Linked DNA regions of Nothobranchius furzeri. The protein of the gene in region 1 purifies or fractionates together with the protein of each later gene. This does not show direct contact. Links are inferred from orthologs where the notes say so. Each region holds a gene or a part of one and is shown in the gene's direction. Other genes may lie near its edges.

Region 1 (3,827 bases):
CTCAACATGGGGGGGGTCTTCTGGTTCACCAACAACCTGATCAAGGTAACGAGAATGAATAAAGCATCCAATATGAGCTCAGATGGTATATAAACACCTGCTGTGTTGTTCCAGGAGCTTCTGAAAGAGACACGTCAGGAGTGGGCCACGCGGGTGGTGGAGTTGCTCTACAGCATCTTCTGTTTGGACACCCATCAGATCACCCTGACGCTGCTCGGTACCATTTTACCCAACCTGCTCACTGACTCCGCCCACTGGCACAGCCTTTCAGACCCTCCTGGGAAGGCTTTGGCCAAGTAAGAGCAGCTCCTTTCTGCTGGTTAAATCTGCATTTCAGCTGCTTTGCATTAACTTTCTTCCCCCTTCAGGTTGTCTGTGTGGTGTGCGCTCAGCTCTTTCTCCTCTCACCACAAAGGCCCCCTCTCAGCACGGCAGAGAAAAAGGCAGAGAGAAGACATAGAGGTAAAACTGCAAAGGCCAGGAATGGCATGTTGAAATGCATGAGTGATGTAATGTCATGGTTGCGTTTCATGAGCATCTTTCTAACCACAGGACTACAACAGCCTCTTTCCTCTGGACGATACTCAGCCGTCCAAACTCATGCGGCTGCTGAGCTCCAATGAGGATGAGCCTGCAGCTCTGTCCAGTCCAGGTCCGTCTAATAAAGTTTGTGTTTGGTTGCACGCTTGAATTATGGAGCTTCAGACATTTGTCTCTCGGTCTGAGCTGGGGATTATTCAGATGCTTTTTCTAATATCCACTTCCAAACCGGTTTGTCCCACTCAGAAGGGATAAACTTGGCTTCCAGTGATCCCAGACGTGAACGGTGGCGTTAGGTTTGCAGGCTTGCAGGTTCTAACTTGAGCCTCATGTGGGGTTAAAATATTGCCAGATTAAAACTCTGAGCAACAGCAGTGTTGTATTGTTACTCAATTCGTCATCACATGACCAGTATAATGAGCTTCCAGATCACCAGCTCTGGAATTTTTAATTATTTTCCCTGTTTTTGGCTGCAGCTTCGGAGACAAATTCCCAGACAAGACGTTGCATGACTCAGGAAAAACTTCAAGGCCCTTTACACTTTGCTGTCAAGACTGAAAGTAAAAGTGCTTTTGTTCTTTCAAAACCTCAAATAAGAATCATTTAGAAACTATTCTGGTCAGACCAGCGGCCGTGCTCAGTGATTTTTGGAGTGCAGGCTTCTTAATTACAGAACAACAATACAAAATCAGAATATAAGACATGGTTTAAATGGCACCACAGACACCTCGAGTCTTAAATAGATTTGGAGTATTTTCATGTTTAAGTGATAAAACTTTTTCCTTTGATGTAGCTCAGGTGGTTTATCAACCTATCATTTAGCCGCTTAAATGTATATTTATCTACAAACAAACAAGGAGCTTTAATCAGAGGGTAAAACAAAGTAAGATGCATACTCTGAGGTGGGAGTGACCAAACGCTCTTGCGTTTAAACAAATGGGACTAATAAGAAGGAGCCGTGACCTAAAACTTGTTCTGAAGGGCAACTTGTTTTACTCTTTGTTTTCAGATAATTCAACAGTTAAGTTATGTCAGCATTGGTTAAGTTGTTTGGTTTTCATGACACTAACCCATCGTGGTTATTTTTGCTGAATGCAGTCCGCCGACTGCACTGTCAGCTTAACCGATAATGATACTGCCACCAACGTGCTCCACAGTTGATGGTGCTGCCCACCCCTTTACCCCTACAAACACATCAGGTGATTGTGGTCAGAGCAGCTTTGGAAGGTCATGAGATTTTCAAACGCTTCACTCGGTCAGATTTGAGTTATTGGGTTGATTTAGGTGTCAGTGTGTGCCATTTAAAGGTTCCATTTCATGCTATGTTAAACCTTTGAGAACAAAGGTAGGCAGATTATATGGTAAAATATTACCATTGGCAATATTGAGATGTCATTTATCTTAAATACAAGTTATTTTCTTCAGCATGAGTTGATACCCAGAAATAAAATGCTTAATTTCAGTGAAACTCCGCCCACGCCCGCTCTGACAAAACGTGACTACAACAGTGTCATAGGTGAGTCAGTTGCTGTGTTTGTTATAAAATGGCCTGTATTTGATATAGCGCTTTCTAGAGTCCTGGAACCCCTCAAGGCACTTTACAACACAATCAGTCATTCACCCATTCACACACACATTCACACACTGGTGGGGATGAGCTACGATGTAGCCACAGCTGCCCTGGGGCGCACTGACAGAGGCGAGGCTGCCGAGCACTGGCGCCACCGGTCCCTCCGACCACCACCAGCAGGTAGCGTGGGTTAAGTGTCTTGCCCAAGGACACAATGACCAACAGACTGAGTGGGGCTCGAACCTGCAACCTTCCGATTACGGGGCGAGCACTTTACTCCTGTGCCTCCGCCGGGGGGGGGGGGCAGCTCAGGAGGTAGAGTGGGTAATCTGAAGTTTGTAGGTTTGATCTTGGCTCCCACCAGAGAATGCCGCTGTTGTGTCCTTGGGCAAGACACTTAACCCACCTTACCTGCTGGTGGTGTTTGAAGGGACCGGTTGCGTCAGTGTTCAGCAGGCCTCGCCTCTGTCAGTGTGCCCCAGGACAGCTGTGGCTACATCATAGCTCCTCCCCACCGGCATGTGAATGGGTGAATAACTGATTGTGTTGTAAAGCACCTTGGGGGGTTGTAGAACCCTAAGATGGAGCTATACAAATACAGGCTGTTTACTATGGCAGGCCAGCGGTTAAGGCATCTGACTGCTGTCTCAGTTTTGCCATGTGCTGACGTGGGTTCGAATCCCGGTGGTGTCGGAATAAATTTATTTAGCCACCTGAATCAGATTTCATGTTTTCATATTTTAGTTTAATTATTTTCTGTAAAATATTTTGTGTCTCTAAAGATCTTTGAATTTGGTCATTTTCAAGCAGCATTTTAGTTGATTTACTCTGCTCACCTCACATAGACTCACTCTGGCTAAATGACCAAAGAAAGTAAAAAAACAGATTAGTCCTTACCTTTTAAACAGTTTCCCAATAAAAGTGTAGCTAAAAAACAGTTACTGCCAAGGCTGGGGTGCGAACTTACCCAAAACTACATGCCCGCCTGGTACTCTAACCACTGGACTACCAAATCTGCTACATGACACCAGTTGCCTAAGCCAGTGGTTCCCAACCTTTTTTGACGCTAGGACTCCTGAGCCGTTTTCTCGCACCATGAGTACCCCCTTAGTCAAACGTGTTGACGATTCCCCAAAAGTGTATAACTGGGTGCTTGGTAAAAGCTGGTGTATCATTCATTTGGGTAGAAATGGGCCACGTGGCCTAAGATCTATATCACAGTATGTTTCTTTCCTCTATTTATATGTTTATGTCAAAATTAGGGGTTTTACATTCTCACATACCAGATGAATTTCAGCACAACAAATACTTCTAAAAATGATTGAAGAACATTAAACATTCAAAACATACTTAAAAATACATCTTTCTAGTAGTTTTTATGATGTTCTGATTCATTCTTCAAACAAAGCAACACAAAAATGCTCCTGAAACAAATAAAGATGAAGATATTTAAATAAAATTCAAGCTAAATGGGATGAAAACACAAAATTATAGTTTGAAATAAAGTGAAAACATGTAAAAACGGAAATAAGATTTCCAACTTTCCTCATTCATTTAATCATTTTTTATGTTTTTCATTTTGTCATAGAAGTTAAGTGTTGCTTCAGTCAGGATAACTGACGGTAAAATGATTTGTTGCTTCGTTTTTTGTCGACATTAATAAATAAGCTGGAGGTTTATTCTTTCTTCCTCTGGTAGAGCGATGCTCTGATCAGCG
Region 2 (4,294 bases), on another chromosome or scaffold:
GGCCACATGCTCCTCAGACCCCCAGCGGAGTGGCGCAGAGTAAAATCGCTGCATTCTCCGGAGATCAGCAGAATTTCCATCGTGTCTGTCGTATTAAACCCAGAGAACCGCATCACGAGAAACTGGGCCTCACCATCGGTCCCGCTAACAAAACACTCCAAGCCCACCCCACTTCTACAGCTAAGCTAATACAACACTTACAAACCGCACCCGGGACCGTCCAGCGAGACAGAACAGAGGGTTTCTACCTTCTGTTCCCGAAGCAGCCGTGTGCAGGCCAGCCTGCTGCCCGGTTGTAGCTGACGGGTCCAGCAGCAGCACGATCGCTGTACTGGTCACAGCCCACAGCCTCAGAATGAATGACTCAGCTCAACAGAGCCACACTTTAAAAGGGGAGGAGGCCATTTTCGCTCACGTTGCTAGCCAGATTGGTGGGTGACGGCTAGGCCACAGACAGGTTCGCTAAGCTGCTGAGGGGAAACCAACAGGAAAACAACATTTCTGAACGCTTATTTGGTTATTTAACACTAAACCGCGAAGCCATGATGGACTCAGCCGCTGTTACCGCGAAATTACGCTCGCATGCACGGAAAGACATGAACTCAACCCAGTAGGACTCAAACCTTGGGATGGTGCGGAGGTCCCCGGTCCCCTTGGTCTCATCCTGCCGAGAGAACCACACCTCCAACAGCTTCTCGGTCCCTTCGAAGAAATGTGCACCGTTTTCCTCCATCATGAGACAACAGACGCCCAACAAAAAGGTGTAAACGTTGTTCGCAACGTTTGTATGTTAATAAATCCTTTCTCGATTGACTATAATTTATTGAGGTACAGTCATTAAAGTAATTCTGATGTTAATTTTCTTAAGTTACCGCGTTCCCTTTTGCAGAGAATACAGTTAGCGAGCGCTAGCTAATATCGCCGGCCATACTGTGTAAGCACCGAACGAGCCGCGGACAGCTCTTTTATAGCCTCAAGACTTACGTCACAGTGGATTGACCAATCCGCTTGTATGAGTAGAGGTTGTCCATTGTGATTTGTTGAGGAACCTTCCAATCGCACTGGAGACTGATTTTCCTCACGTGCCATTTTATTGCCACAAGAAAATAAACGTGGTAGGACCGTGTAAACAGGACAGAAAGCGAATTAACTTCATATAATGTTAACACACGTGTTTGCATCGTTAAATGCTGTTATTGTGAGTTATTTGGTTTTCATAGCTTGGACAAAATAATTAAAAATAGTTATTTATATCCCCCAAAAGACAACGTGGTCTGGGACAGCAGCAGTGTGTTTCCAAAATGTATGTTCTAAAAATGACCTGGAGATATGATCACAGGCTATGTTGTTGAACCGCTCACCTCGGGAACAAAAGCGTCCAACACAGAAGTCTGGACCACTAGCGAGCCGAGCACTCATGCGGACCCGTAGGGAGCGGGAAACGCGGGTTGTAGTTTTTCTCATTCTAGTTTCACAGCTAGTGAGTCGCGACGAGAGCTCAGAAGACTCCATTACCCAGCAAGCACTGCGCCCCAATTAGAAGCGTCAACGATCCAGTGAACACAGCGGAGCAGACCAAAATCCCAAACAAGGAAATGGTGGGGGAATAAAACGAGCAGATTATTTAATTAATGCGTGTAATAATTAATATTTTATTTTGTTGTAATTTAAGTCGTCTTTATGGGTTAACATGGATTACGACTTCAAAACAAAGCTGGCAGCCGAGCGGGAGAGAGTAGAAGATCTGTTCGAATATGAAGGTTGCAAAGTGGGTCGAGGCACCTACGGACACGTTTATAAAGCTAAGCGCAAAGACAGGTAAGACCACCGAGGTCCGGTTCCGTTCGCCCTGCCGGTCTCACGGTGCGTTTGGGTTCACACGGGCCGCGCTGGTGTTGGACGGGCGGCAGACCGAACCTTCCAGAGTGTGTCTGTGTTTTTGTTTTCATCTAACACACACACACACACACACACACACACACACACACACACACACACACACACACACACACACACACACACACACACACACACACACACACACACACACACACACACACACACACACACACACACACACACACACACACACACACACCTCTAGCCGCGCTCCTGTCCCAACACGTTTCACCAGAGATGTTTGTGTTCTGACGTTAGCTCTGTGTCTGTTCACCGGACCGCGGTGTCCCTGCTTACAAAACGGCGGGATTCCTCCGGTTTGACCGTAGACAGGTTGTGTCCCTGTGGCTTCTGTCCCTGGGACAGGACCTGTGTGTCCCTGTCTGCTGGCCCGGCCGCTGAGGGACCTGCTCTGTTATCAGTCCCGGTGAATGTTCGTGTGCCAAAGCTCTACTCCGATCTGCATAAAAGCAAAATATCATTTCCAGCTGGTGGGGGGGGGGGGGGATAACACGTCTCACCTTTATGTTAATATTGTTTTATTTGATGCCCTCCACTCTGAACTGCACCAATCCAGCAACTGCTGCATTTTAATAACTAGTATTAAAGGTGAATACACCAATATTTGCACAAGAATAATTTTAGTTTTAAACTCTCAGTGACACACTTTGCAGGGGGAGGGGGGGTGGCATTTAATTTTTCGTCTGGAAAAACATCTCCTTCTGCCCCCTTTATTTTGGTCCAAGACCATTACTGGGCTGGCCCTATTAAACACCTTCTACACCCCTGCTTAGTAGACTTAATGAAGTATTTTTAAGCCAGTATAAAAATGACTGAAACACAAATTTACATATTTGGCATTATTGACCAATATCTTTGATTTAATTTATTTGTTGAGAACATCAAGATGCATTACAGTGAACATTATAATAAAGTACATGTTTCTAGTGCAGAGAGGAGACAACCCATAGAAGCACTGGTCTGATCTCATTTCAGAGAAAACTAGAACAGGTCAGATGCACCTAATAAATAAAATTACTAACGTAAACTCAGGAATCTTGTTTCTTTGCTTCATTGTTCTGGTGCTGGAAACATCACTAATGCGGATCAAAGGAGACACACAGATGAATGCACCTCTTATTTATTATTTGGAAATTAGTGGGTGTTGTTTACATCAATACATTATTTTAAATCTGAAATTGATATGGATTGATCAGAAGTTGCTATGTGTGTATTGTTTATCTGAAAACTATTTACAGAGCAGCCTCAGAACTGAGATTAAATATGTTTGATCACAATAGTAAAGAAACTGTTACAGAACAAGTTTTTCAGTAAAATCAGAACATTATTTATTTATTTATTTATTTATTTAACTTATGTTTTTTCAGGAGGATAAACTGCTTGAGATGTAACATCTCGTTTTCGAGCAGGTCCTCCTACAACACAACCAATAACAAATAAGGTGGCAGAGTTAGAAAGTTGTAACAGAAATAAAAAAAAAAAAGGGGAAAGTAAATAATAGTAAAATCAACGATATGTATAAATGTATATATATACACACGTAAATATAAACACATAAGCAAGGATACATAGATACCAACAAGTGTACATACGTACATACATACCTATATACCAAATTAAATTAAATAAAACTGCTGTGAGGCACTAAAAGAGAAATAAGGGCAAGAAATTACATTATAAATAAATCTAAAGTGAAGTAGTATCCCAATTGAATACAAAGTTTGGCAACGAAATACAGCATGTTAGCCATTGAATGCACAAAATCATCATAGTAAAGATTAAACAAAGCAACTACAGCTTGGCTTTACATAAGCATAAACAGTGCGGGAAAATTTACGAATTGTTGAGATGGATCTTAATTCAGCGGGTAATTTATTCCAGTCCTGAGGAGCTTTAACACAAAAGGCGAGTCTACCCACCTCCTTTTTAAAACGAGGAACAACAAATGATGGAAGAGTAGTTAAGCGGGTTGAATACAAGGAATCAATGGGAACCAAAAGTGTTTTTAGATAAAGTGGAAAATCAAAATAAATGCACTTAAACATAAATATCAACCAATGAAATTGTCGTCTAGCTTTTAAAGGAAGCCAACCAAGAAGATCATACATATAACAATGATGAGTGTTAAATGAACACCGCAAAATAAAACGACACAAACTGTTATAGACGACATCAAGAGACCGCAGGCTAGAAACTGTTGAGTTTTGGTATAAAATATCAGAATAATCAATGATCGGTAACAGAAGCTGAGTGACGATGCACTTTCGAACAATAGGTTCAAAGCAATTTATTGAGTTATAAAGGATACGTAAACACCGTGTGACCTTAAGACATGTTGTGTGAATGTGAAATTTAAAAGACAGCTCTGGCTCTA

The links.
Region 2: the proteins of med24 (region 1) and cdk19 purify together in Homo sapiens (affinity purification with mass spectrometry; 6 studies listed by BioGRID and IntAct, counting the BioPlex papers as one, with this or other methods). This does not show direct contact. The link is inferred for Nothobranchius furzeri from reciprocal best matches to the Homo sapiens genes MED24 and CDK19.

Annotation. Positions count from the first base shown.
Region 1 is NC_091756.1:31,518,990-31,522,816, reverse strand, and holds part of med24 (mediator of RNA polymerase II transcription subunit 24), read left to right. Parts: coding exon 1-45; intron 46-114; coding exon 115-296; intron 297-368; coding exon 369-462; intron 463-552; coding exon 553-652; intron 653-1,016; coding exon 1,017-1,100; intron 1,101-3,827. UniProt on the Homo sapiens protein: Component of the Mediator complex, a coactivator involved in the regulated transcription of nearly all RNA polymerase II-dependent genes.
Region 2 is NC_091742.1:28,596,526-28,600,819, reverse strand, and holds the start of cdk19 (cyclin-dependent kinase 19), read left to right. Parts: upstream 1-1,488; 5' UTR 1,489-1,595; coding exon 1,596-1,598; intron 1,599-1,672; coding exon 1,673-1,818; intron 1,819-4,294. Other genes in the region: amd1 (S-adenosylmethionine decarboxylase proenzyme), read right to left, coding at 624-736.